7 linked regions of the Oryctolagus cuniculus genome follow. The protein of the gene in region 6 purifies or fractionates together with the protein of the main gene of each other region. This does not show direct contact. Links are inferred from orthologs where the notes say so. Each region holds a gene or a part of one and is shown on either strand. Other genes may lie near its edges. The genes, in order: CDC26, ANAPC7, ANAPC16, ANAPC13, NEK2, ANAPC2 and ANAPC4.

The links.
Region 1: the proteins of ANAPC2 (region 6) and CDC26 purify together in Homo sapiens (co-immunoprecipitation; 7 studies listed by BioGRID and IntAct, with this or other methods). This does not show direct contact. The link is inferred for Oryctolagus cuniculus from reciprocal best matches to the Homo sapiens genes ANAPC2 and CDC26.
Region 2: the proteins of ANAPC2 (region 6) and ANAPC7 fractionate together in Homo sapiens (co-fractionation; 6 studies listed by BioGRID and IntAct, with this or other methods). This does not show direct contact. The link is inferred for Oryctolagus cuniculus from reciprocal best matches to the Homo sapiens genes ANAPC2 and ANAPC7.
Region 3: the proteins of ANAPC2 (region 6) and ANAPC16 purify together in Homo sapiens (co-immunoprecipitation; 5 studies listed by BioGRID and IntAct, with this or other methods). This does not show direct contact. The link is inferred for Oryctolagus cuniculus from reciprocal best matches to the Homo sapiens genes ANAPC2 and ANAPC16.
Region 4: the proteins of ANAPC2 (region 6) and ANAPC13 purify together in Homo sapiens (affinity purification with mass spectrometry; 3 studies listed by BioGRID and IntAct, counting the BioPlex papers as one, with this or other methods). This does not show direct contact. The link is inferred for Oryctolagus cuniculus from reciprocal best matches to the Homo sapiens genes ANAPC2 and ANAPC13.
Region 5: the proteins of ANAPC2 (region 6) and NEK2 purify together in Homo sapiens (affinity purification with mass spectrometry; 4 studies listed by BioGRID and IntAct, with this or other methods). This does not show direct contact. The link is inferred for Oryctolagus cuniculus from reciprocal best matches to the Homo sapiens genes ANAPC2 and NEK2.
Region 7: the proteins of ANAPC2 (region 6) and ANAPC4 purify together in Homo sapiens (affinity purification with western blotting; 12 studies listed by BioGRID and IntAct, with this or other methods). This does not show direct contact. The link is inferred for Oryctolagus cuniculus from reciprocal best matches to the Homo sapiens genes ANAPC2 and ANAPC4.

What each region holds. Positions count from the first base shown.
Region 1 is NC_091432.1:216,878,127-216,882,341, reverse strand, and holds the start of CDC26 (anaphase-promoting complex subunit CDC26), read left to right. Parts: upstream 1-1,415; 5' UTR 1,416-1,649; exon of another isoform or gene 1,650-2,102; intron 2,103-3,408; 5' UTR 3,409-3,511; intron 3,512-4,100; 5' UTR 4,101-4,140; coding exon 4,141-4,215. UniProt on the Homo sapiens protein: Component of the anaphase promoting complex/cyclosome (APC/C), a cell cycle-regulated E3 ubiquitin ligase that controls progression through mitosis and the G1 phase of the cell cycle.
Region 2 is NC_091452.1:8,056,513-8,059,551, reverse strand, and holds the end of ANAPC7 (anaphase-promoting complex subunit 7), read left to right. Parts: intron 1-6; coding exon 7-157; intron 158-1,753; coding exon 1,754-1,943; 3' UTR 1,944-2,539; downstream 2,540-3,039. UniProt on the Homo sapiens protein: Component of the anaphase promoting complex/cyclosome (APC/C), a cell cycle-regulated E3 ubiquitin ligase that controls progression through mitosis and the G1 phase of the cell cycle.
Region 3 is NC_091446.1:63,342,950-63,346,449, forward strand, and holds part of ANAPC16 (anaphase-promoting complex subunit 16), read left to right. Parts: intron 1-847; 5' UTR 848-874; coding exon 875-1,016; intron 1,017-3,500. UniProt on the Homo sapiens protein: Component of the anaphase promoting complex/cyclosome (APC/C), a cell cycle-regulated E3 ubiquitin ligase that controls progression through mitosis and the G1 phase of the cell cycle.
Region 4 is NC_091435.1:146,958,724-146,962,977, forward strand, and holds the start of ANAPC13 (anaphase-promoting complex subunit 13), read left to right. Parts: upstream 1-1,454; 5' UTR 1,455-1,659; exon of another isoform or gene 1,660-1,700; intron 1,701-1,838; exon of another isoform or gene 1,839-2,723; intron 2,724-3,698; 5' UTR 3,699-3,746; coding exon 3,747-3,845; intron 3,846-4,254. Other genes in the region: CEP63 (centrosomal protein of 63 kDa), read right to left, coding at 1,165-1,295. UniProt on the Homo sapiens protein: Component of the anaphase promoting complex/cyclosome (APC/C), a cell cycle-regulated E3 ubiquitin ligase that controls progression through mitosis and the G1 phase of the cell cycle.
Region 5 is NC_091444.1:26,251,891-26,256,145, reverse strand, and holds the start of NEK2 (serine/threonine-protein kinase Nek2), read left to right. Parts: upstream 1-1,455; 5' UTR 1,456-1,589; coding exon 1,590-1,685; intron 1,686-2,455; coding exon 2,456-2,673; intron 2,674-3,583; coding exon 3,584-3,824; intron 3,825-4,255. UniProt on the Homo sapiens protein: Protein kinase which is involved in the control of centrosome separation and bipolar spindle formation in mitotic cells and chromatin condensation in meiotic cells.
Region 6 is NC_091432.1:237,481,196-237,485,426, reverse strand, and holds the start of ANAPC2 (anaphase-promoting complex subunit 2), read left to right. Parts: upstream 1-1,431; coding exon 1,432-1,779; intron 1,780-1,942; coding exon 1,943-2,565; intron 2,566-4,231. Other genes in the region: microtubule nucleation factor SSNA1, read right to left, coding at 638-748, 918-1,117, 1,382-1,433. UniProt on the Homo sapiens protein: Together with the RING-H2 protein ANAPC11, constitutes the catalytic component of the anaphase promoting complex/cyclosome (APC/C), a cell cycle-regulated E3 ubiquitin ligase that controls progression through mitosis and the G1 phase of the cell cycle.
Region 7 is NC_091433.1:20,527,616-20,530,484, forward strand, and holds the end of ANAPC4 (anaphase-promoting complex subunit 4), read left to right. Parts: intron 1-285; coding exon 286-409; intron 410-2,046; coding exon 2,047-2,274; 3' UTR 2,275-2,369; downstream 2,370-2,869. UniProt on the Homo sapiens protein: Component of the anaphase promoting complex/cyclosome (APC/C), a cell cycle-regulated E3 ubiquitin ligase that controls progression through mitosis and the G1 phase of the cell cycle.

The sequences.
Region 1 (4,215 bases), about 21 Mb from region 6:
CCTGGCTCCTGCCTTCAGATCAGCGTGGTGCGCTGGCCGCAGCGGCCATTGGAGGGTGAACCAACGGCAAAGGAAGACCTTTCTCTCTGTCTCTCTCTCTCACTGTCCACTCTGGCTGTCCAAAAAAAAAAAAAAAAAAAAATTCTGTAAAAAAAAAAAAAAGGCTCCTGGATGATGCTAGGTAGTGTAAGCAAAATATGAGTCTATAGATTCAAGTTTAAAAATTGAAAACTTGTAACATAAAACTACAGCTATCTAAGCTGAGGAAGGCACGCATTACAGAAAACTGGAGGTAAAGGTAAAGATGGACTGAAATCTGTCATCTTACCGGAGGTTATATTAATATTTCCTGCTTCAATTCCTGCTTTAAGTCCTTCTTTTCCCAAAATCCCAGATTCTCCTTTGGCCAGCCGCTCCCTTTCCTTCTCTTCCAGACTTCCATAATAAATGTGTGGCTTCTTCACCACCGGAGCCACCAGGTCATCAGGCGCTTTCGTTTTGGTGGCCTGCTAGACCGAAGGCTTCGATTAATTCAAGGCTCGATCTTAGCAATCCACGAGGCTTCCCTAAAGGGTGAAGTTCATCCTGACCTCCCCCAACAAAAGGCCAAACTGGGCGCCAGGGAAGATGCGCTTCACGGACCCGCGGGTGTGGGGATGGGGGCGGGAGGGCACGTCAGCCCTTCAATCACTTCCAGTTTGACAGCTTGAAGAGGTGGATTAAACCCGGTTCTCCGGGTGGTTCTGCCTCTGGAAGACGATCACTTCATTCTGTTGGAAGTGCAAGCTCTTTTTGGGTTTCGTGATACTTCCAGGGTTACCGTTTAACACGGGGGGAAACACCAAGGGTAAGGTAAAAGAACCGGCGTGGTGCCGAGGGAGGGGTAGCCAGTGACAACGCTCCTGCTCGGTCCATCTCAAGCGTTTTGAGACCTGTGGTAGCAGAGCAGGAGCCGGGAGGCCTCATCCCAATTCCGAGGTCTCCTATAGACAGCCACCGTGGCCAAGACACTCGCCCACTCCGGAGCCCTGGTTTGGACCAGTCGGAAGTGGTGTTTGCCGTTCGGGGCTGCGGTGGGACAGGTGCATACGAGTAACAGCACATACACTCGCTCAAGGGTCCGGGGAATGCTGCTCTGCTCTGGAGGGCAGGACCGAGTCCGGCAGCCCTCCACCCTGTCAGCCCGCTCCCTAACGGACCCTTCCCCGAGGGACCCCCACCCTCTCGGCGCTCCCTGCCGCAGTGAACTGAGATCCCGAGCTCCGTACCGTGGAGGACGCTCGTGACGAAGCCATGCTGGGCTCCGCAGCAGCCAAGCCCCAGAAAAAGCCAAGCTCTCCGTTTCAGACCATCCACCGCGCGCCCAGCAAAGCGGAACTACGTCACGGACCGGAAGTGAAGTCGGGCGCCGACGCAGCGCCCTGAGCGGCGCGGAGCATCATGGGAGTCGTAGTAGTTACTATTCTGGTCGCGTGGAGGGGCATGACCCTTAGAACCTCCGAGAAAAGCTCGCGGGAGACGAGGTTCTGGAGGGGAGAGGGGCGCGAAGCACTCTGGGAAGTGTAGTCCAGTTGGGCTCGCAGTAGATTCGTGGTGGGAGCTGAGGTTCCTTCCGGGAAGGGGCTGAGCGGGCTTGGAGAGAGAGGAAGGTGAGTCAAGTCGCGCGGCCGGGCGCTGAACTCTGGAGCTTACCGAGGGCTCCTAGAGACTTTACGTCGTCCCGGGGCGGAGGCCCATGTTGCCATGGAAACCATCGCCCGGACCGCTGAGTGTGGTCCTGGGGCTGGGCGAGGAGGGTTGTCGGGGTGGGGGTGGGGAGGAAAGTCCTCCCGGGGCCGGGGGCTCCGGCCGAGCTGGCTCAGTTTGCGGTGGATTTGGGCAGCGGTGAGAGATGAAGCTCAAAGAGCCCTCTAGCGTCTAAGTGAAGTAAAGAGCGGGCGAAGCTTCGGCCCGGTTTTGCTGTTGCTTTTGTTTCGTCTTCAGCCGGGTCTTTGTGTCAGACTGAGTGAGATGATGGCTAGGAAGGCGTCGGGTAGACCGCAGCCGACTCTCCTGCATAGCCCTGTGCTCCTCTGGGTGCGGGGGCATCAGCGATGAACAAGGCATGTAGTGGGTGGGAGACTCAAAATGTTCGTGTTTGCAGAGCTGGAACACCCCCCTCCCCCATCGTTATCTCTTCCGCCCCCCGCCCCCAACAACTGCAGTCATAAGTGCCTGTTATTTATTGAGCGTTTACTGAATACCACAGTTGTGTAGCCAGGAGCTTAATCGGCATTACGCCATTCAATTCAGACAGCAACAGAGTATAGAGGCAAGGAAGGTCTGGTGCGAGACAAAGATCGGAAACTTAAAGGGATCGGAGCCAGCACTTCAGCCGGGTCTCTACCCTGCTTCCTAGTGGTGGTGGTGGGCTTTTCGTTTTCGCAGAAAAGTTAAAATGCATAGCGATCTTCTCAGTATCCCTTCCTCACCCCATTTGGAACTTCGTTTTCCTCTGCTGCTTGTCGGCATTGGAATCTGGTGGACAGTATCAGATTTAAGTCAAAGCAAATTGAAATGTAATGTTTTGTCCTGGAAGAGGGGCAACCGGGACAGAATCCGGCGCCCCGACCGGGACTAGAACCCGGTGTGCCGGTGCCGCAAGGTGGAGGATTAGCCTAGTGAGCCGCAAAAAAAAAAAAAAAAAAAAAAAAAAGTAATGTTTTGTGTTACCACTGCGTGTCTGTCTCAGGCTTCATGGGAGGAGGAGGAAATGTTTCTTCTTTTATGCACTTCTCAGTCCCCGGTTTCATCCTGGGTACAGCCAGTGGCGTTCATTTACATCAGTCTCATTTAATCCTCACCCCACGGTCCTATGTGTGACTCCTACAGGAGGCCAGACTGGACAGCTTGCTTTGACTTCTTTCTCTGTAAAATAGGACGATCTTGCCAGCCTCACAGGGTTTTCGTATTAAAATAAGCAAGTGAAGAATGGTGATGGAAAAATTAGCCCAGTGCTCACTCAAGTTCATTTTACTTTAGTTGTTTCCTATATTCAGGGAACGTTTACTGACTGCCTAATGTACATACACAGACTCTGTTGGGTGCCATGAAGGTGCCCCTCAACAGATACTAAACGTGATGGGGAGTTCTGTTTGCTCAAAGAAAGGGTTTTTGTTAAAAGTATTGTCTTGACTCAGACTGTTCTCTTGAGCTTCTTTGTGCACTTGTTCTCTCTGCCTGCTCTTTAGATGTCGACTAAGACTCCATTTAGACATCATTTCCTGCCATAGGCCGTGTTTAACATCCCTGGCCACCACCCCACACCTAGTCCAGCTTTCGGGCCAGCATGGCTGCCATTGTATTCTCATCAGTGTTCTTGCTCCCCTCGCTGTTAATTTTCCCCTCACGTGTCTGTTTCTCCCACAGGTTGTGTCTGTACCTTTTAATTTTGTAGCCGGAGCACAAGAAGTCTTTGCTAATGAATGATCTGTCTGGTTGATTGAGACACTGAAGAGAATCTTGTGAATTGGTGAGTTCAGTTTTGCCTAGAATTTTCTTATAGGCAGCTTGCTGGTGTTCAGTTTTTTCAGAAAGAGGTTTTTGAATCACCGCGTTGTGGATCTCCATCATGAAATACAAATGTAAGAAGCATACACCTAAAGCCTTAAGAAATCTATGTGTGGGGCTGGCATTGTGGCACGGAAGGTAAACCACATCTTGCAATATGGCATCCCATATCAGAGTCTTGGCTGCTCTGCTTCCAGTCCAGCTCCCTTCTAATGTGCCTGGGAAAGCACCAGATAATGGCCGGTGTGTGTGAACCCCTGCCACCCACTTGGGAAACAACAATGGAACTCCTGACTCCTGGCTTTGGCCCGGCTCATCCAGAGACACTGTGGCCATGGGAGTAGTGAACTATGGTGGATGAGAGATCTCTGTCTCTCTGTGCCTCTCCATCTCTTTGTCACTCTGCCTTTCAAAAAAAGAAAGAGATCTATGTGTGAATCCAAGTTTGATTTTGCTATTGCCTTCACTTTAGTGTACATGTGTAGAAATTGGCCTTATGTATGTAACTGCAACGTATCACCTCCAGTTTTTCTCTGTGTCATTTTTAATAGCTCATAGTTGATTGGATCTGCTCTCAGTGTAGATTTCAGTATGCTGCGACGGAAACCCACGCGCTTGGAGCTCAAGCTTGATGACATTGAAGAGTTTGAGAGCATTCGAAAGGAC
Region 2 (3,039 bases), on a different chromosome or scaffold from region 6:
TTGCAGGCAGAGAACAGAAATATGAAGATGGAATTGCGTTACTCAGAAACGCACTGGCTAATCAGAGTGACTGTGTCCTGCATCGGATCCTAGGAGATTTCCTTGTAGCTGTCAATGAGTATCAGGAGGCAATGGACCAGTATAGTATAGCACTAAGGTAGGCACTTAGCCTCCCGTGGGGGAAGGTCCATGAGGAGGGCAGAGGAGGCGTGAACTGTGGTTACAGGAGTTCTGAAACACACACACACTTCATGCTCATGGTTGGAAGCAGAATCGTAACAGTAATGGTGAATCCCAGAGCCATTTGTGAATTCATGACTTTTAAAAATCTTTTCATCAAGTATAGTAACAGTAAAGAATTGTCTCCCTCATAACCAGTCCACACCACTTTGCCATCCATGTTCATTTGTACAGATCATCTTCCTGTCCTTACCCACACACATGCATATGTTTACAGTTACACCTAGTATATATTTTATACTCTGCTTTTTCAAGTCACAATACTGTACCTTCCCATGTTTCTCTCTACTGTAGTAGTGAAAAACATGGGTCTGAAGTTTGGGTACTGCCTTCACCTCTGTCATCCTGGCAAGCTACTAACAGACTTCCTGTCTACATTCAGTGGTTGAGGATTAAGTGATATTCCATGTAAAGCTCTTAGCACTGTGCCTGGTACATAGTGAATACTAAATAAATAGTGGTATTCTACTGCTTAACACAGAAGTGCTTTCTTTGAGGGTTGTCTGTGTGTCTGGAAGGTTCTGGTCACATCCGTTCACTTGCTCAGCACACAGTTGAACGGCGCTCGTGTGCCTGGCATCTCAGTGGCCCCTGGGGATGCCGCATGTCCTCGGTGTTCGTCTCAGCCGAGCAGACCGATGACGCCAGTGTGCTGTGTGCTTTCATAGCATCTGTAGAAGGGCAGGTGGGCGTCAGAGGGCGGGAACTGCAGCAGTTCTCAGCCGTTGAGGACTGAGGTGACACGACAGGTTTTAGTCCGTGTTGACTATGCATGAATAGGATTCCAACATGGGTTTTAACTGCCTTTTGGAAGCCCGGAATCAAGTGAAAAAGTCACATTCCAAGCCTCCACTGGACGATTTCCCAGGGATGGGACGTCCGCTGGCTTGGGTGATTGTCACCAAGGCAGGAGGACGGGTTTCCTGGGAATCGGATCAGTGATGCTCTGGGGCACTGAACTGGGGAGCTGGGCACATGGAGCTCAGTCTGAATGCCCAGCGGGGGTAACCTTGGTCCTGGGGTCTAACCTAGGCATCGACAGTGTTCCATGGTATAGCATGTTTGTGTTGCCTACTGAAGTGCTGACGGTTTAATTACATGTTCTGCTCACAGAAAAGTAACTATTTTGTAGCCCTATAGCTCAAAACCTAAATTCCTTTCAAGAAATTACATTTTAATTTTTCTGTTGATGTTTGCTTGCTACTTTTTCATTTGTGTTATCTGGTAGCTGCCTGTAGCAGAGTGCTAGGGGTAATAAATATGAGAAGGTTTAAAAAATTTCTGAAGAAAAACTCAGTTTGAGAATTCTAGAAATCAGGAAAAGACGCCTCTTCTCACGTCTGGTGGTGGACTTCCTCGATGAGCCTTGGAAGCTGGCGTTGTTTGGAGAGGCCAGGCGTTAGCAGTTTCTCTGACTGTGTGGTCATTTCACTGCCGGGCCAGGGACATGACAGATCACCAGCAAGAAGCAAGGCAGAGATTCAGGCCTCTCCTTTGTTTTGTTGTCCCCTAGTTTGGACCCCAATGACCAGAAGTCTCTAGAGGGGATGCAGAAGATGGAGAAGGAGGAGAGTCCCACGGATGCCACTCAGGAGGAGGATGTGGACGACATGGAAGGGAGTGGGGAAGAAGGGGACCTGGAGGGCAGCGACAGTGAGGCGGCCCAGTGGGCTGACCAGGAGCAGTGGTTCGGCATGCAGTGAGGGCAGCTCCGCGCGCCACCTGCTCGGAGCGCTTCCCTGGACCCCAGGCGCCGTGGGAGCTGCTCTCGGGACAGTGACGCAGCGAGTGCTCCCAGGAGGGGCCTGCCCCTGCTCCTGAGTTCTAGTCGGGACTTGATTCTAACGCTGAGCCTGGCCAGCCTGCCAGGATGCCCACCCTCCCGTCTCCAGCAGGGAGGACTGCGAAGCCCTGGCGCCCACACACTTGCGGGGCTCCTGGGCAGGGAGTGCTTCGGGTATAACTAACCACATCCAGAGCTCAAGGAGTAGACTGCTTGTCTGACGTGAGTGGGCTTGGAGGAGTAACCCGCCTCCCAAGGATGGCAACACAGCCTGGCCCTTGCCACAAGGGCTCCTGTTCCGAGAAAGTCATCCTGGGCTGTCCAAGCTTCCCCAGTAACCCGCTTCCTTCTGCAAGTTAGTAATGCCTTAAGCTGACAGTCGCTGTTGTGCAGAGCAGTTTTCCTGTTTGCTAAGCTGGTACCTTGCCTCTGAGCCTGGGCATGAGAAACAGGTATGGTGAGAGCATGACAGGGGTGCGCCTCGGCAGTTGCCTAATAAAAGTGGTTTGTACAGTCGTGTGTTGGGGTGGTCGGAATGGAAGCCTTTAATAGACTCTTATTTTGGTCTCATTCAGAAAGCATTGGTTCAGCCCCAGAATTATTTGCCATAAATAGACTCTCTCTCTCTCTTTCCCTGCTGTTGGGAACAGGAGAGACCTCAGGTCACCCTGAACTGGGCCATGCATTTGCAGTCTCGCTTGGTGAATCTCCCTGGGGCCTGGGAGGCTTTGGCCAGGCTTCAGACAGTTGGCCTGGCGCTTTGGAGCCTGAGGTCCGTGTCTGGCCTCAGCATCCTCACGGGGGAGCCTGCGGTGTCACACTGGACTCGGGTGCTGGGAGACTGTTCACCCAGCTCCCCGCTGGTGCCGAGGCTGTGCTGCCTCGAGTCTGCAGTTAATGGTGGTGAAGAGAGGGGAGGTGGAGCTCCCCCAGATTGTCAGGTGCTGCAAAATGTGAAATGAAAGTTGTGTAAGATAATACCCTAAATATACAAAGTGCAGCTCAGAACATCTGAT
Region 3 (3,500 bases), on a different chromosome or scaffold from region 6:
GGCAGTACATGAGGCTGTGACTGCTGTATGAGGCAGTGTAGAAATAGAACATTAGAGCGTTTAACATCACAGCAGAACCTTCCCTGAGACCGCATGGTACTAGACCATTTTTCTACTAAGTATACCCTTCAGAATCTTTCGTTAGGGCCACACAAGCTTTATCCTAGTAAACAGAGTGTGCCTGTTTTGAACTTTTGTAAAAAGTCGTGTCTTCAGTATAGATTTTCTCATTTACATTTGAATTTTTGATATGACAGGGACTAAACACGAGCAGCTGCTGTATTCCTAGCAGGTCAGGATTTCCAGCATCCTTGTCTGAGCTGTTTTGTTCCAGTTTTGGGATGCCACCAAGTGATAAGTTTCGGTACTACATTTGGGTGGAAAGGTTAAAAAAATGTTTAATGAAAGGGCCAATACGTATTTCCTAACCAATTTTCCCTTCCTTGGGAACAGAACACAGTGTTATTCTGAAATTTTATGTGGAAAATTTTATAAGTGAATTTCTTGGTGTGGTTTGGTCAGAGTGTGTCCAAGACAAACTGTCCTATGGAGGATGGTGGTTTAATTTCCACAGTCAGATTTGTGCTTGGCCCTGCCATGGCTCCCCTTCATAACTCGTAAATCACCCACAGTCAGTCTCAAGTGACACACAGTTTGCTGGTCACAGGAAGTAGTCTTTTCAGTAGACAGACTTCTTAAACATACTTTGGCTTCAAAACGAAAAGATTGTGGGAGTTGAAAAGGTAGAAGACAGGGGAACCTGTTCTGTACAAAACTGTATGCTGGCCCTTGCGGTGGAATGAAATGTTGTTGATTGCGCTTCCATTGCTGTTTTTCTTGTCTGTAGTGAAGTGAGCCTTCGCCTGGAGAGGAAATGGCTGCCTCGTCGTCGTCCTCCTCGGCTGGTGGGGTCAGTGGGAGTTCTGTCACTGGATCTGGTTTCAGTGTGTCAGACCTCGCCCCACCACGGAAAGCCCTTTTCACCTACCCCAAAGGAGCTGGAGAGATGTTAGAAGGTGATCTCATGCTGCTTTTTGCTGAATAATTTGCCTTAGACCTGCAGTGAATATTAATTGTAAAGAAGCTTTTAAATGGATTTGAGATCAGTTTGTCCTGATTTCAGCTCTACGTTTCATCTCTTGTTCCCATCTCAAAATAGTATCTTTAAAAACAAATCTTGCTCCATAGTCACAATTTAGGAGCTGAAAAAAAGACTTTGGAAATCAAGGAGGTCATCCAGAGTTATTTAGATCCAGAAGAGTTAAGTTATTTGACCACGTTAAAGGAAGCCGGCACTAGAACCAGCAATTCTTTTAGCTTCCTTCTCCAGTTTGCCTTATCTTTGCACCCATCTACCTCTTCTTGGTGGGAGGTTCATGGTATTTTTTCCTACTATAATTAATCTACAGAAAGAGCATCCCATCAGAGAGGGTCTAAGAGAAAATAATAGCTATCACCCTGCTCTTTAACAAGGAGATGACCCTTCTGGCCCCCTGAAGGCCCCAGAGCCAGGTGTACATGCAGTCATCCACCATCCTGTTGAGCACACAGACTGGCTGGCCAAGATCCAGTATGGGCTGTAAGCATAAAGCCATGTTGGTAGCTGCAGTTCATCAGATTCATGTCAATATTAGGAGCTTGACTAATAGCATCAAAAATCACTTGAAGAGCTTTTTTTAAAATACACATTTATAGACAGGCTTTTGGCCTAGAGGTTAATGATACCTGCATCCCATAGCAGAGTACCTGGGTTCGAGGCTCAGCTTCACTCCCAGTTCCACCTTTCTGCTATGGTGTACTTTGAAGGTAGCACATGATAGCATAAGTATTTGGGTTGCCACCACTCGTGAAGGAGAGCTAGATTGAGTTCCCAGCTCTCAGCTTCAGCCCCTTTCCAGTACTGGCCATTGTGGTCATTTAGGGAGTGAACCAGTGAATGCAAGTGCTCTCACAAATCAAAAATAATAGTAACATATTTCTGGGCCTTGTGTATAGATTCTTAGCATAGCACAAGAATCCTCATTTTGACCAATGTCCAGGACCCTCTCATAAGGATAGTCTTCTCATTTTTTTTCTTTTTTTAAGTATTATTTATTTGGAAGGCAGCATTACAGAGAGAGAGAAAGACAGATCCAGATCTTACATCCACTGGTGGCAGTGATCTTACTGCCAAGGTGGCCACAACTGCCGGAACAGGGCCATGGTGAAGCCAGAAGCCTGGAGTTCCATCGAGGTCTGTCATTTGTGTGGCAGGGCCCAAGCACGTGGGCTGTCTTTCACTGCCTTCCCAGACACATTAGCATGGGGCTGGATCAGAAGTGGAGCAGCCAGGACTCCAATCAGTGCTCATATGGGATGCCAGCATCACAGGCAGCTGCTTCACCTCTTGTACCACAGTGCCAGCCCCTTATCATATTCTGAAAAACATTGACAAAGAACATCTGGACACCAGTTGGAATCCCGGCTGCTCCACTTCTGATCCAGCTCAGACTGGCACAGTCCCGGCTATTGCAGCCATTTGTGGAGTGAGCCAATGAATGCAAAATCTGTCTGTGTCCATCTCTCCCTCTCTCTAACATTGCCTTCCAAATAAATAAATCTTTTTTTTTACATTCTTTTTTTTATTTTATTTTATTTTATTTTTTTGACAGGCAGAGTGGACAGTGAGAGAGAGAGACAGAGAGAAAGGTCTTCCTTTTGCCGTTGGTTCACTCTCCAATGGCTGGCACGCTGCGGCCGGCGCACCGCGCTGATCCGATGGCAGGAGCCAGGTGCTTCTCCTGGTCTCCCATGGGGTATAGGGCCCAAGCACTTGGGCCATCCTCCACTGCACTCCCTGGCCACAGCAGAGAGCTGGCTTGCAAGAGGGGCAACCGGGACAGAATCCGGTGTCCCGACTGGGACTAGAATCCGGTGTGCCGGTGCCGCAAGGCGGAGGATTAGCCTAGTGAGCTGCGGCGCCGGCCAAATAAATAAATCTTTTTAAGAAAATCTACTTGATGCTAGTTTTGAAACTTATTTATATATTTACCTTTTTGCCTGAAATACTACAAATTTACATAAATATATAATTTATTTATTTATTTGAGAGGTAGAGTTAAAGACAGTGAGAGGGAGAGACAGAAAGGTCTTCCATCTGTTGGTTTACTCCCCATTTGGCCACAACGGCCATAGCTGCGCCAGTCTGAAGCTAGGAGCCAGATGCTTCTTCCTGGTCTCTTATGTGGGTGCAGGGGCCCAAGGACTTGGGCCACCTTCTGCTGCTTTCCCAGGCCACAGCAGAGAGCTGGACTGGAAGAGGAGCAGCCAGGACAGAATCCAGCGCCCCAACCGGGACTAGAACCCGATGTGCTGGCGCTGCAGGCAAAGGATTAGCCAAGTGAGCTGCGATGCGGGCTGCATCAGTAACTTAAAGCTACTTATACTTAAAGACAGACTATGGAAAATAATGCAGAGATTGCAACCTCTGAACTCTCCTAAGTCAAACCAAGAATATTAAA
Region 4 (4,254 bases), on a different chromosome or scaffold from region 6:
TGTAACAATTTTACAGCTGCACTGTTCAAACAGTAACCACGGGAGGAGCTGCAGCTGTACCAAGCACTATGCAATGCAGAACTGGACTGTGTGCTCTGCCATGTTAATCAGCGTACCCGCTGCAGCTGGCTAGGCGGAGGTGCAATTCCAGGGGACCCAAGCACACCTCGGGAGGCAAACAGGTCAGTGTAGAACAGCAGAAAGAGGCCAGAGAGCCGTTTGCAGGTAGGATTTAAAAGGTCTATCAGTCAAGCACACAGGGAGATCTCGGGGTGAGACCTGGGATCAACTACACACAGGGATGGGGCAGCTGAAGAAACCCGAGCCCCGCGGAGGCCCACAGTAGGGAATTCTGATCTCCACAGGTGTGAGAGTTCTGTGGCTTTGTGCAACTGCAGAAACCAACCTAGCTCTTGGGGGCGGAGGGGAGGGCTAACATAAACCAGAAATTCAATGCCTGCAACTTTGAGGTCCATGTTGCTTTTTGCAAGCCGACAGCGTGCGTGCGGAGCAGGAAGGTAGCCGTGAGAGTGGCCCACACAGAGGAGCGCGGGGACTAATCGACCTAAACAACCCTTAGAAGCGAGTTTATGAACTTGACTCGCACGGGCTGCAGAGGGCAGTGTCTAGGTGGTTACACATCTCTAGCCCATTCCAGTTTCAGGGCCTTGCTAACTAGCAAGGAGCTCAGCAGGAAAACCAAGGGCACCGCCTTCCGAGCAAGCGAACACAGACTCGATCACCAAGCTACATCCGTTAAAGATTCAGTATGCAGCCCGTGTCGCTCCTGGTTTCCTCTTCGTAAACTCAAACTACACGGGGAGCAAAACTGTGCAAACGCGGGGCGTCTGAAGCCGACATCGGGGGTCCGACCCTGGGCTCGGGGGAAGCTGCTTCGTGCAGCCCTAAACGAACAGGAGCTTCCGCCACTGTCCCAGGGCCGCCAGGGCACCGCAGATCCAGCCCCAGGAGCCTGGTCGTGTAGGGCGTTACTGAGCAACCGCTCCAAGCCATTTCCTTCTATGTGAATATGAACGTCGAGGGCGGCCTGCCTCCTCCAACCCCGCCGACGCCACCCTGCAGCCTCCCCGCGCAGGGAGCACTCCACGCAGCGGCGCCCGAGCCCGCGACCCCCCTCCGGCCGGCCTGCGGGCCACGGCTGACCTCCCCGCAGGGCCGCACGCCACCGCGGACTGGGCCACGGCCGCCTTCGCGGGGCCACAAGGCGTGGGCGGGCAGGCCGAGGGGCGCCCCTGGTGGCCGGCGGGCTGCTGCAGAAGCCAGTCCCGGGCCATGCGGCCGCGCGGCTGGGGGCACCAGGTTGGCCAGGGCCTCCGGACCAGGACACGCCCGCCCCTCGCAGGGGCCTAGGTCCCCACTGGCGGTTACCCAGCGGCCGCCGCGAGCGCGCCCGTGGCCTTCCCGTCGTTACCTCGGGACGGGCCCGCGCACGCGCGGCGCCGCCGATCTTACGTCCTCCCTCTGCCGCCGACACGTTCGTTCCGCCCACTGCCGCCTCACCCCCCCCCCAACCCGGACCGCCCCTCCGCGCGCATAAATGGGCTCACCCACATCCGGGGATCTGGGAGACGGGCGAACGGGTCACGTGGTGCCGGGGTGTGGCCGGGAGGAAGCGCTGCTGCTTTGGGCCGGGTGCTGGTAAGAGTTTCCTGCGTTCGTGGCGCGGGTCTTGGTGTGACGGGGTCGAGTGCAGCGGCCGCGGCCGATGCCTTCACCTCACCCTTGGAGTGTGGCGGGCTGGAAGGCCCTGACGTGGCGGCCCCAGACCTCCCCCTCCTGGTTTCCCCAGTTGGTAGCGCCCGCCTCGGGCCGGAAGCCGTGGTTGTGGGTTGGCCTTCCCGGTACGGTGGCCTGCGAGGGTCATTTGTAGCGCCACAGAAAAGCTGGGGTGGTGTTTTGTCTTTGATCGTGTAAATGCTTAGTCACAAAGCTTTGGGAGACAGAGATGGACAAGACGTGCCCCTGTCGCAGGGAAGGCACGCACTGTCTGTCTCCCTTGTTGGCGCCAGGCACGGCGCCCCCAGGACAAGTAGGGCTGGTTGGCACACTGGTCAGCGGTGGCCCTCTGGCCGGTGCGGAGAGTGGTGTGACGGGAATTTGTTGATCAGGGCCGGGGTTCCCGTGAGGCATGCAGAACGGAGCCTAGCCTTGCTGTAGAGGTGGTGATTTAATCCTGAGTCCTGGGTCTGGGGTCCGGGTCCGGGGCGGGGGGCAACCTAGCCCGGACACCATTCCCTGCATGCAGTGGGTTCACCTGAAGTCGCCAGACTGCAGGCCAGCGGGGAAGGCGAGGTCTGATGCAGAGGCGCTAGGGGCAGGATTTCAGAGCGGGAGAGTGGGACTGGGCGGGCGGTGTTTGCGGACAGGTGGAAGAGACCTGCTGGGGGATCCTGGTGCAGGATTTGCACCTGCAGCCAGACAGGCGTGCCCGAGCCGCGGGCCGCAGAGCTGAGCTCGCTTGTGTCTGGATGAGTCAGGACCGAGGTCTCCGGAAGCTTTTATAGGAGGGGGCTCTGCGAGGGCCTGGGAAAACCAGCAAAGGGGACAGACTGCACCGCATATAACTGCACCTGAGCCTCAGGAGCCCTGAAGACAGGCTCCTTCAACGAGTCGCCGCGTGGTCCTGGGCCAGCCTTGGGGCCCCACGCGGCTTGCTGGTAGCGGAAGGAGCGCCTTTGCCGCAGTTCTGCCCGTTCACCGAGGTTAGAAACCTCTCCGCACCCCGACGCGGGTAGAATTACGGTCCAGGGGTTAGGAGCCGTCTTGCTGTTAGGAGAGCAGAGGCCCGTGGATGGAGTGGGATCCCGCCGCCCGCCGAGGTTTTCTGTGTGCGCCTCCGCAGTGTCAGATGCCGGGAGGGCCTGAGGGCGCCTTTGGTCCAGTGGAGTGCGGGCCGTTGGGATTAACGTGGAGGAACGCTAGCGATGAGGGAACCTGCCAGCCAGGCCTCTGCATGAGGTTGCAGCTGCTCAGGGGACAATGAGGCTGGCAGGAGGCATCTGTGCACTGAGTGCAGCTGGGAGTGGGGAGATACCATGGTCCCTGAGAGGGGGGAGGGAGACACCATCGTCACTGAAGGGCGGGGGGGAGATACCGTGGTTACTGAGGGGGGTATACCATGGTCCCTGAGAGGGGGCAGGGAGACACCATCCTCACTGAAGAGCATGGGGAGAGGGGATGGGAGGGGAGATACCATGGTCCTTGAGAAGGGGGAGTGGGGAGATACCATGGTCGCTGAGGGGGGCGGGATGGAGATACCCTGGTCTCAGAGTGGGGGAGCAGCCTGGGATGCCCCAGTTGCTCACCTGGAGGTGCCCCTCTCGGAGCTCGGCCGGGCCACTGTTTTAGGAAGGAAGCAAGCTTTCCGACGCTCTCGCCGTCCCTGGCCTGAGGCCTTGCGGCAGGCCTGTCCTGGCCACGTCCTAAGGTGTGAGCTGAGCGCGTGCAGTGCGCTCCTGTGCTGAGGTTTGAATCGGGGCAGGTGCAGACGGATGGATGAGTCTGTCCAGAGGCGCTCACTGCACAGCGTTTGTCGGCTGACCGGGCGCAGGAACTCTGGTTTTTAAGTTGTCACTTGACCGCCTGGAAGAGGACCTCTTCCTGCCTTCACGGGAGGCTCGGGAATGCCTGGGCAGTGCTGGTGCTAAGTCCACATCTTTCCTGCCGTCCCGTTTCAGAAGGAACCCCTTGGCGTCCGGCTCCGCCGAGATCAAAGCCACGGGAACATGGACAGTGAGGTGCAGCGGGATGGAAGGATCTTGGATCTCATCGACGACGCTTGGCGGGAAGACAAGCTGCCTTACGAGGATGTGGCGATACCGCTGGTAGGTGGCGATGGGGCCCGGGACCGTGGCTGGAGGCAGGGTGTCCAGGGGCTGTACCAGGAGGGCAGAGAAGTCGGAGCCGCGGGGGCGTATGAGCGTCTCAGCCCCACAGAGCAGTGTGGTTCAGAAAGCGGAGGTAACCAGCACGGCCAGGGGTCTTGCCAGGGCTGCGGCGCCACCCTCCGGAGCCGTGTTCTGGCTGCCACAGCACAGCCGGAGGGAGACCGGACAATGAAGTGTGCCGGACAGACAGGAGCAGCCGCATGGAAGCTAACCGGGGCCCCTGCTTCCCTCGGCCCTGTCAGCTGCCGACGTTTCCAGAACACGCACCTGTCCTGCGTTCCCTGGGAAATACTCGTAAGGTGCCTGGCTTGTCTTCATAGTGACTGGGCCAGCGGGCTTCGAGGGC
Region 5 (4,255 bases), on a different chromosome or scaffold from region 6:
CTCCTGGAATGACTCCTTCCCAAATATTTTGTCTCCGCCATAGAGCAAAGGGCATTGGAAAACCGAGTATCTGAGGCTCCCTCCAAATCCTTGCATAGTTCTTAATAAACAGCTTTCTCCAATTTTATTTTTAAGCTTTTTTATTTTTATTTGTTTGAAAGGCAGGGTGACAATGAGAGAGAGATAGAGAGAGAGAGAGAGAGAGAGACAGATCTTCCATCCACATGTTCACTCCCCAAATGCCCACAAGAGCTAGGGCTGGGCCAAGCTGAAACCAGGGGCCAGGAACTCCCTCTGCGTCTCCCACCTGGGTGGGAACAGAAACAGAGTAGCAGGGACTCCACCTGGGACACTGATTTGTGATGCAGGCATCCCAGGAGCCTGGAGAGCAGCTCCTAGGCAAAGCGTATCAGCAAATATTTATTGCTCACCTACCATAAGCTCCTTTCCACACCATACTGAACAGATATCTAAAGAATCTTGACCTGCTTACACACTGCCACGCATTGGCTTCAATGCTCCCCGACCCAGCCCTCGCTGGGACTCTGGGACAGTTTCACTGGGCTGGGAGAGCTGAGAATGCTCACTTCTGCGGGTGCCCTACCGTGGCTCATTAAGTATTCTCAGTTGAGAATACTTAATACTGGAACCCAGAAAACCTATTTAGTAGCTTCTTTTAAAATAATTTTTAAAAATAATTTTAAAATAATTTTTGGTAGGAAGCTGCGCCTGCCTCAGAGCCACTATATGCATGGCTCCCCCCACGCATCAGGGACTTCCGACCTCTCCCCCAGGTTTGTGCACGTCTGCGTGTGGAACAGGCCTGCACGCTGCTCGTCCCTCCACCAGGCCACGCGCGAGGCCGAAGTCAACACCAGGAGCAGCCACTGTTTTTGTGCTGATGGGTCTGATCTCGGCTGTTGGGCCTGAAGCAAGGGGTTTCCGCCTCCCGGGCTTGGGAAACAGCAGGGATGCGAATTCCCGCTCCCCAGGGCGCTGTGGACGCCACGCGGGGACTTCGGGCGGTCCTGCCGCAGCGGAAGCTGTGACTCCTTCCGAGAACAGCTCGGTTCCCCTTTGTACTCAGTCTCCAGCGCGGCCCCGCCCAGATTCAGGGTACCAGAGGAGTCGCGAGGGGTCAGAGTGCAAAGGTCAGAAGGCAGTTGGTTGAGGGTCTCTGGAAAGGTCCCGAACCTCGGTTACCTAGGCGATCTCAACCGGAGGGATATTGTTGCTAAGACCCACCTGCCTTCCGCGTTTTCTTTCCCTAGCCCTTCCTTTGGTTTAGCTCCGCCCCCTCCTCCCCTAGAAGGAAGTCCACGCTGAAGGCGAAGCCGACGCGGTTGCCTAGCGACACACTTTTCCCAGGATGCCTAGGGTGTTGTGATCGTCTCAGCCAATCAGAGGGACGAAGAGACCTCGGCGTCCACCAATAGATTGCGAGATCCGGGCCCGCGACGGTTAAACCGGGCCGAAGGCCGGGGAGCGGGTCGGGGCAGCCTGGGGGGGTTCTCCGGGGTGCTGGCCTCAGCTCTGTGGCCGCGGCGCGACCTGCCGGGGGGAGCGCGAGTCCGGCGACGGGCTCGGCCATGCCGTCCCGGGTGGAGGACTACGAAGTGCTGTACACCATTGGCACGGGCTCCTATGGCCGCTGCCAGAAGGTCCGGAGGAAGAGCGACGGCAAGGTGAGCGCGGGCCCTTCCCTGTCCCCGCCCCGGCGGAGGTTTCGTCCGCCCGGGGCCGCCCCGGGGATCCGCGGGGCCCGAGGCTGTTGGGCGCCGGGAAGGTTCAGCCCTCTCTCCAGGCGTGCGCTGACAGCTTGTCCTGCGGGGCGGGAGACTTCGTCCTTTGAAAAATATATATATAATTTTTTTCCCATCGTGTCCCCTCTTCTCCCCTTTCCTCCCTTTCTCCTGCTTTGACCTGCCAAGGGCTTCCCTTTGGTGACAGGCAGCTGACCCCTGAGCTGTTTGTGGAGAAGATTGACCCTCTTGGGACCAAGGGAACCTGACATTTACATATCATTTAAATAATAGCAATTCTCCGGATTTGGGGGTGGGCGTTTCCCGATGTGTGTAGGTGGATCTTGTACAGAAGGAGACGTTGCCGGGGAAACTGCCCGCTGCTGAGCCCTGGGAAAGCGTGACCAGTCGCAATGCTCAGGGGCTTTGCCATCCTCCCACGGACAGCTCATAGGGGCGAGGTGGGAGGCCTAGTGCACCCCCTTCTCTCCCCCCGACCCCCAACCTGCAAAGCATCTTTCACTGCTCAAAAGCTGGAGAAAGGTTGAGGATGGCAACACAGGACTCTACCTTTATTGCACTAAATTAGATGATAATGACCTTGGCTTTTGTAGGCTATATTTTAAAGGGAGGTGAGTTCTTCACATGTTGGCGCTTTAATTCTTTTTGAAAGAATGGGAAGTTTATTCAGACCTTGGCCATTCTGGTTCCAGATATTAGTTTGGAAAGAACTTGACTATGGCTCCATGACAGAGGCTGAGAAGCAGATGCTTGTATCTGAAGTGAATCTGCTTCGCGAGCTGAAGCATCCGAACATCGTGCGCTACTATGACCGCATCATCGACCGAACCAACACGACTCTGTACATCGTGATGGAGTACTGCGAAGGAGGGGACCTGGCGAGCGTGATTGCCAAGGGAACCAAGGAGAGGTAATCTGGAACTGGCAGCTGACGTGGGCCTGCTCGCGTTTCTGTTAAGCATCTTGTGATAGTGGAAGACTTCTTGTATTTTGTGAGTCCATGGTATTTTAGGAAATTCCTGGCATGGCTCAACACCCAGGTTTCACATCAAAATAACATTTTCCCCGGGGCCAGTGTGTGGCATGATGGGATAAGCCGCCGCCCGCGCTACCGGCCTCCCATATGGGTACTGGTTGGAGTCCTGGCTGCTGCTCCACTTCTGATCCCAGCTCCTTGCTAATGTGCCTGGGAAAGAAGAGGAGGATGGCACAAGTCCTTGGGCCTCTACACCCACATGGGAGACCTGGAGGAAGCTCCTGGCTCCTGGCTTCAGCCTGGCGCAGCCCTGGCTGTTGTAGCCATTTGGGGAGTGAACCAGTGGAATGGAAGACCTCTCTCTGTCTCCTCTCTCTCTGTAACTCTGCCTTTCAAATAAAATAAATTTTTTTTTAAGAATTACTTTATTTGAAAGACGGAGTTGCAGAAAGTGGTAGAGCCAGAGAGAGGTCTTCCATTCTGCTGGTTCACTCCCCAAATGACTGCAACAGCCAGAGCTGAGCTGATCTGAAGCCAGGATCCAGGAGTTTTTTCCAGGTTTCCCACACAGGTACGGAGCCCCAAGGGCTTGGACCATCTTCCACTGCCTTCCCAGGCCATAGCAGAAAGCTGGATTGGAAGAGGAGCAGCCAGGATTTGAACTGACGTCCATGTGGGGTGCCGGCACTGCAGGCTGGGGCTTTAACCCACTATGCAATAAATCTTTAAAAAATATAACATCGTGCCCCATTCGTCCACATTAAAAGCCAGATAATCCACTGCATCCCGTCCCATCCTTGTAACGATCCCAGAATTCCATGCTGTGTAACTGCTTTGCTTTCAGACAGTACTTAGATGAAGACTTTGTTCTTCGAGTGATGACTCAGTTGACGCTGGCCCTAAAAGAGTGTCACCGGCGAAGTGACGGCGGCCACACTGTGCTGCATCGGGACCTGAAACCAGCCAACGTTTTCCTGGATGGCAAGCAAAACGTCAAGCTTGGAGACTTTGGGCTAGCGAGGATATTAAACCACGATACGAGTTTTGCAAAGACCTTTGTTGGGACACCTTATTACATGTCTCCTGTGAGTACCCCTGAATTTTGTGACTTTTTGACCATCTGAATGCTAAATGTCCAAACGCAAGGACATTCAGTCTGTTGGTTTGTTTGTTTAGTAATATCTAATAGCCCAAAATTAATAATGTTATTTATTTTGAAGTTTACATTTTTCCCGATGAGCCACCTGACCATTAAGTTCCTGTAGGTTAGTAGTTCAACTCGAGCTTTTATGGAACTTTTTTTTTTTTTTTTTGACAGGCAGAGTGGACAGTGAGAGAGAGAGAGACAGAGAGAAAGGTCTTCCTTTGCCGTTGGTTCACCCTCCAATGGCCGCTGCGGCCGGCGCACCGCACTGATCCGATGGCAGGAGCCAGGTACTTATCCTGGTCTCCCATGGGGTGCAGGGCCCAAGTAGTTGGGCCATCCTCCACTGCGCTCACTGGCCACAGCAGAGAG
Region 6 (4,231 bases):
GAGCCAGGCGCTTCCTCCAGGTCTCCCGCACACGTGCAGGGCCGAGGACTGGGCATCTCCCACGGCCTTCCCAGGCCTCGGCAGCAGGGGCTGGCTGGGGAGTGGGGCAGCGGCACTGCAGGCGGCTGCTTTACCCGCTAGGCCCAGACCTGAACGGGAGCAGGCAAGGGGATGGAGCCCCAGCCCTGCTGAGCGGGACGGGTGCCTCCGTGGACGGATGCACCACGCGGGCACAGAGGAGCAGAGCCCCGTCCACGCTCCTGGGGTGGGGCGGGCACCCTCGGCTCTCCTTCCCCAGGGGCCACAGCGGCTGGGCGGGGACCGGCTCCAGGGGTGCGCGCAGCCCCACGGTTGACGCGGCACAGGCACGGGCTGGTGGGCTCTGTACAAATACAACCTTTATTGGCAGGTCAGGGCGCTAGGCCCCGCCCCCGCCCCGCCGGCCTGGCCACCACGGCCGAGCAGAGGCCAGTGCCAGGGGTGTGGGGGCCGCAGAGCCCACCTGGAGTCCAACACCCCAGGGCCTGGGTGCGCGGGAGGCCAGGACCCTCGCCGGTGGCTGTCTGGGCGGCTTCTGGTCACCCGGGGCCACAGTGCGGTGCAGCTGCTTCAGGGGGGCTGGGGGCGGCCCCGCCCGTCAGCTGTCCTTGCCCCCGCCGCCCTTCTGCTCCGTGGCCATGGTGGCCTTGCTCAGGTTCCCGGTCTCCCTCTTCAGGACGCTGAGCAGGGTCTGCGAGCTCTCCAGGATCTGCGCCGACGGGGCGAGACTCACTGCCCGACCCGGGGGGGGGGGGGGGGGGGGACCCACCCACCCCTTCCTCCCCAGGCTGCAGAGCCAGGCGGGCTTGGCTCTGCCAGCCCTGGGAGGAGCCGCGGGGGACAAGCCCAGGGCAGCCCGGCCACCTGCCGAGCCCCACCTTGAGGTAGGCGGCCTCCGTCTCCGCGATGGTCCGGTCGAACTCGTTGCGGGAGGCGATCTTGCAGGCCAGGTTCTCGTTGACGCGGGCCAGCCGCTCGGTCAGCTGCCGCACCTCGACCTGCAGCCGCTGCTTCTCCTCCTCCTCCTGCTGGATCTGCTGGCACAGCTCCTCCCGCTTCTGACACAGCTCCTCCATGCCTGCGGCGGGCCCGAGGTCAGCGCCGCGGGCCGGGGCCGGAGGCCGCCCGCCGCCCGCGCAAGGCCACGGTCCCGCCCCGGGGCCCTCGGTCCCCAGCCCTGGGCGCGGGCAGGGCCGGGCCGCGTGCACCCGCCTGAGCCACACAACGCCCCGGGGAAGGCCGGCCCGAGGCGTCCACGCTACGGGAGCCTCGCCTCGCACCGACAGTCCCCGGAGCCGGGCCCTGCGGCCCCCACGGCCTCCCCGACAGGCCCGCCGCTCACACTTGACCAGCTCGTTGTTGTAGGTCTGCAGCGCCGCGCCCTGCTGGGTCATGGTTAGCGCTCGGACGCCCCGCCGCCCCAACCGCCGCGCCGCCCCCGTCTGCGCCTGCGCACTCTCCCCGACGGCGCGCCGGTCGACGCGTCACTACCGCGCGCCCCGCCTGCGCGTCACGGCTGCGCGCCGCGCCCAGCCTACGCCATCTCAGCGCGCCGCGCCCAGCCCGCGTCATCTCCGGACGCCGCACCGCCGGGGTGGGGGTGGGGTCTCTGAGAGCGAGTGGGCGAAGATGGAGGCGGCGGGGGTGCAGGGGGATGGCGGCCCTGGGCCTGGGCAGGATCTGTTGGTGGCCTGGAATACCGTGAGCACCGGGCTGGTGCCGCCGGCGGCGCTGGGACTGGTGAGGCCCGGGAGCGGGGTGGCGGGCCCGCGCGGGGCGTCCGCTGGTCGCCAGCCTCTGCTGGCTCCGTCGGCGCCCGCCTCGGCCCTCGGCCCTCGCCCCTCGGCCCTCGCCCCTCGGCCCTCGGCCCTCGCCCCTCCGCTCAGCGGCTCCTGCCCCGCAGGCGTCCTCGCGGACCAGCGGCGCGGTGCCGCCCAAGGAGGAGGAGCTGCGCGCCGCCGTGGAGGTGCTGAGGGGCCACGGGCTGCACTCGGTCCTGGAGGAGTGGTTCGTGGAGGTGCTGCAGAACGACCTGCAGGCCCACATCGCCCCCGAGTTCTGGAACGCGCTCTCGCAGCGCGAGAACGCGGCCGACGAGCCCCAGTGTCTCCTGCTGCTCCTCGACGCCTTCGGCCTGCTGGAGAGCCGCCTGGACCCCTACCTGCGCAGCCTGGAGCTCCTGGAGAAGTGGACGCGCCTGGGGCTGCTGCTGGGCCCCGGCGCGCAGGGGCTGCGCGAGAGGGTGCACACCATGCTGCGGGGCGTCCTGTTCTTCTCCACGCCCAGAAGCTTCCAGGAGATGGTGCAGCGTCTCTACGGGCGCTTCCTGCGGGTCTACATGCAGAGCAAGAGGAAGGGAGAGGGGGGCACGGACCCCGAGCTGGAGGGCGAGCTGGACAGCCGCTACGCCCGCCGGCGGTACTACCGGCTCCTGCAGAGCCCGCTGTGCGCGGGCTGCGGCGGCGACAAGCAGCGCTGCTGGTGCCGCCAGGCGCTGGAGCAGTTCCAGCAGCTCAGCCAGGTCCTGTGAGTACCCCGCGCCCTGCTGGCCCTCGCGGCAAGCCGCACGCAGGTCTGCCTGCCCGCACGCCTAGCCCAGGGCTCCGAGGTCCCTGTGCTGAGGCCGCGGGAGGCTCGGGTTTGCTGCCTTCTCAGGGTTTATGTATCTGAGAGGCAGAGAGAGAGAGGCCTTCTGCTGTCCGGCTCCCTCCCGAAGTGACCAGAATGGCCAGGGCTGGGCCAGGCTGGAGCCAGGAGCTGCATCCGGGCCTCCCACGCGCGTGCGGGGGCCCGGGTGCTTGGCCCGTCTGCTGCTGCTTTCCCAGGCAGCTTAGCAGGGAGCTGGGTCGGAAGTGGAGCGGCCGGGACCCGATCCGGCGGCGGGGCGCGGGGTGCTGGCCTTGTGGGACCCGATCCGGCGGCGGGGCGCGGGGTGCTGGCCTTGTGGGACCCGATCCGGCGGCGGGGCGCGGGGTGCTGGCCTTGTGGGACCCGATCCGGCGCCGGGGCGCGGGGTGCTGGCCTTGTGGGACCCGATCCGGCGCCGGGGCGCGGGGTGCTGGCCTTGTGGGACCCGATCTGGCGGCGGGGCGCGGGGTGCTGGCCTTGTGGGACCCGATCCGGCGCCGGGGCGCGGGGTGCTGGCCTTGTGGGACCCGATCTGGCGGCGGGGCGCGGGGTGCTGGCCTTGTGGGACCCGATCCGGCGCCGGGGCGCGGGGTGCTGGCCTTGTGGGACCCGATCCGGCGGCGGGGCGCGGGGTGCTGGCCTTGTGGACGGCGGCTCGGGCTGCAGCGCAGGCGCGCACTCCTAGCCCTGCCGGAGGCGCCGGCGCGAGCGGGCTTGCTGGCGCTTTGCTCCCGGCCAGCAGGGGGCAGCAGGTGTCCTCTCCGGTGCTCCGGGGGGGCTGGGCCGCGGCGGCTGGAGTCTGGCCCTGCTGTTGCCCCCTAGCGGTCGCACTGCCCGCGGCCCGCAGAGGTGATTGGTCACACCGGACAGAGGCGGCGCGCGGCTGTGTGGGAGAGGGCTCTTAGGGGACGGCGGGACCGGTCCAGGTGCCGGCAGGGCTCTGCTGGGCCTCTGCTGGGTCCACCCCCGGGCAGGGACTGGAGCCCTCTCGCTCTCCCGAGAGCCGCTGGAGGCCAGTCTGCAGCCGGGGCAGCCTGCGGCCGGTTCCGCAGAACCCTTCCCAGGAGGGCAGCGGGGTTCCCCCATGGCCACGCCTGCCGCCCCGGCCACCTGGAGGGCCAGCGTCCACCTGACACAGAGGCTGCGGGCAGGGTCAGAGCCGTGTCAGTGCCTTGTCCTGCAGCCCCCCGTGGGGCCCTGCTCGTGTGTCCTGGCTGTGTCTCCCGTGGGGCCCTGCTCATGTGCCCTGGCTGTGTGTCCCCCGTGGGGCCCTGCTCGTGTGCCCCTGGCCGTGTCCCCGTGGGGCCCTGCTCGTGTGTGCCCTGGCCGTGTGTCCCTCGTGGGGCCCTGGCCGTGTGTCCCCTGGGTGTGTGTCCCCCGTGGGGCCCTGCTCACGGGCCCTGGCCGTGTGTCCCCCGTGGGGCCCTGCTCGTGTGCCCTGGCCGTGTCCCCGTGGGGCCCTGCTCATGTGCCCTGGCTGTGTGTCCCCCGTGGGGCCCTGCTCGTGTGTCCTGGCTGTGTCCCCCGTGGGGCCCTGCGCGTGTGTGCCCTGGCCGTATGTCCC
Region 7 (2,869 bases), on a different chromosome or scaffold from region 6:
GCCGGCCTCGTAACCAATTCTAAGTGATGACTTTGGTTGACAGGTTTTTTGGTACCCAGTTCCCTTAACTGATGTAAAAATGTACCTACTTGCTTTTCCTTGACAGGGAATCAGAAAACCTTACTGAGATGATCTGTCCAACTTTGGAATTGCAGGATTTTTATAGCATGTCCCATCACACTTTCCTGTACAGTGACTGCTAGGATCGTGTTGGGAGTGGGGTGATGGGAGAAGTTGGATCGGGACTTGACCCTGATGGTGACCGGGCTCGGTGTTTCCCCGCAGGCTGGACGAGCAGTGCGGCGTCATCCCCACGCGCACCGTGCATTTCGAGAAGCACTGGCGGTTACTGGAAAGCATGAAAGCACAGTACGTCGCTGGGAATGGTTTCCGGAAAGTGTCCTGCGTGGTGAGTGTCCGCACGTCTTCACCAAGAGCAGCGGCAGGAGGGCCATCGCTCTGACGCGGCACACAGCCCCTTCGGGGGAGACCATGACTCAGCTTTACTGATGTGGGCCGTGTAGCGACCTTGGCTGTTGAGTTCTCCTATTCTGAGAAAGCTCACGGAGAAAGTAGTTAATGCTTCTGGATTTTTAATAAGCTCGTGAAATTCCCGCTGTTGGATGTGGCGATTCCTCTCTACAGAATAAGGCCGATGGTCGGGCTCTGTGGTGCAGTGGTTTGAGCTGGTACTCGGATGCCTGCATCCCGTGTCAAAGGGCCAGTCCCCGACCCGTGCTTCCAATCCAGCTGGTGCCTCCTGGGAGGCAGCAGGTGCTGGCTCAGGGGTTGGGTCGCCGCCACACATGTGGGCGAGCTGGACTGAGCTGTGTCCTGGGCTTTGTCCTGGCCCAGCCCAGGTGTCTGGGAAGTGAGTCAGCAGATGGGAAGTCCATCTCCCTCCCTGTTCCTCTGCCTTTCAAGTAGATAAACACAAACTAACAAGAATGAAGGACACGGGGCTGGCGCCGTGGTGCACTAGGTTACCCCTCCGCCTGCAGTGCCAGCATCCCAGATGGGCGCCGGTTCTAGTCCCAGCTGCTCCTCTTCCGATCCAGCTCTCTGCTGTGGCCTGGGAAGGCAGTAGAAGATGATCCAAGTGCTTGGGCCCCTGCACCTGCATAGGAGACCTGGAAGAAGCCCCTGGCTCCTGGCTGCAGCTCAGCTTGCCTCTGGCCGTTGTGGCCATCTGGGGAGTGAACCAATGGAAGGATGACCTCTCTCTCTGTCTCTCCCTCTCACTGTTGTAACTCTACCTCTCAAATAAACAAATACAATCTTAAAAAAAAAAAAAAAAAAAAAAGAATGCAGGATAGGTACTGGGCTGTCACAGGCTAAGCCACCTCACAACGCTGGCATCCTTGTTGGAGTGCCCGGTCCAGTCCAGGCACCTCTGCCTGCCGTTCCGCTTTCTGCTGCCATGCCTGGAAGGCAGTGGAGGGACTTGTGCCCCTGCACCCGCACGGGAGACCAGGTGGCGTTCCTGGCTCCAGCGTTCATATTAGCAGAGTCTGCATCAGAACTGAGACTTGAACCCAGGCACCCTGCTATGGGATACGTGTGTCCCAAATAGCACCTTTTTTTTTTTTTTTTTTTTTTTTTTTTAACATTTGTCTATTTATTTATTTGAAAGGCAGAGCAACACAGAGAGAGAAATAGAGATCTTCCATCTGCTGGTTCACTTCCCAAGTGGCCAGAACGGCTGGGGCTGGGCTAGGCCGAAGCCAGGAGCCTGGAACTCCATCCTGGTCTCCCACATGGGTGCAGGGGCCCAAGCACCTGGGCCATTTTCTGTTGTTTTCTTAGGTGCGTTAGCAGGCAGCTGGATCGGGAGTGAGCAGCCGGGACTTGATCCAGCCCCCATGTCACATGGGATGCAGCGTTGCGGGTAGCGGCTTTACTTGCTGCACCACTCCGGTCCCCACAAACAGCATCTGAACTGCTGCACCAAATCCCGCCCCTCCAGCTCCAGATCTCTGCTTCCTTACGTGGGAGGCATTTCTGAGCCATTCATTAGAAATTCTTTCTCCGGCCCTTTCCTTTTAGTTAAGCTCGAACCTGCGCCACGTGAGAGTGTTTGAAATGGACATCGATGACGAGTGGGAGCTGGATGAGTCTTCGGACGACGAGGAGGAGGCGGGCAGCAAGCCTGTGAGGATAAAGGAGGAGGTGCTGTCTGAGGCCGAGGCCGAGAGCCAGCAGGCTGGCGCCGCCGCGCTGGCTCCCGACGTCGTCATCAAAGTGGAAGAGCTGGACCCCGAGCTGGACGCGTAGCGGCCCCGCTGCTGGTGTGGGCGGAGGAGCAGGGCTTGGACCACGGTGAATTTTCTTTGTGTAACAAAGAAATAAACAGTATGTACTTTCTCATATTCTCCTGCTCAGTGATACGGGCACTGTGTGCAGACCTAATATTTAAGGAAAGAACTGATTGAAGGGGAAGACAAAGTTTAATCTTTTCTGCCAAAAGATAGCAAAATTTATTCCTCTATCAGGAAATCACATTTTCATAATCATTCACCACTGGAAATGTTGATAGATATGGTATTTTTTTAAAAAGATTTACTAGAGAGGCAGAGAGAGAGAGAGAATCTTCCATTTGCTGGTTCACTCCCCAGATGGCCACGTTGGCTGGAGCTGCGCTGATCCAAAGCCAGAAGCCAGGGGCTTCTGGGTCTCCCATGCAGGAGCAGGGGCCCAAGGGCTTGAGCCATCTTCTGCTTTTCCAGGCCATAGCCGAGAGATGGATCAGAAGTAGAGCAACTGGGACTAGAACTGGCACCCATATGGGATGCTGGCATTGCAAACGACGGCTTTAACCACTACGCCACAGCGCCAGCCCCTGGATATGGTATTTGCAAAACTCAGACAT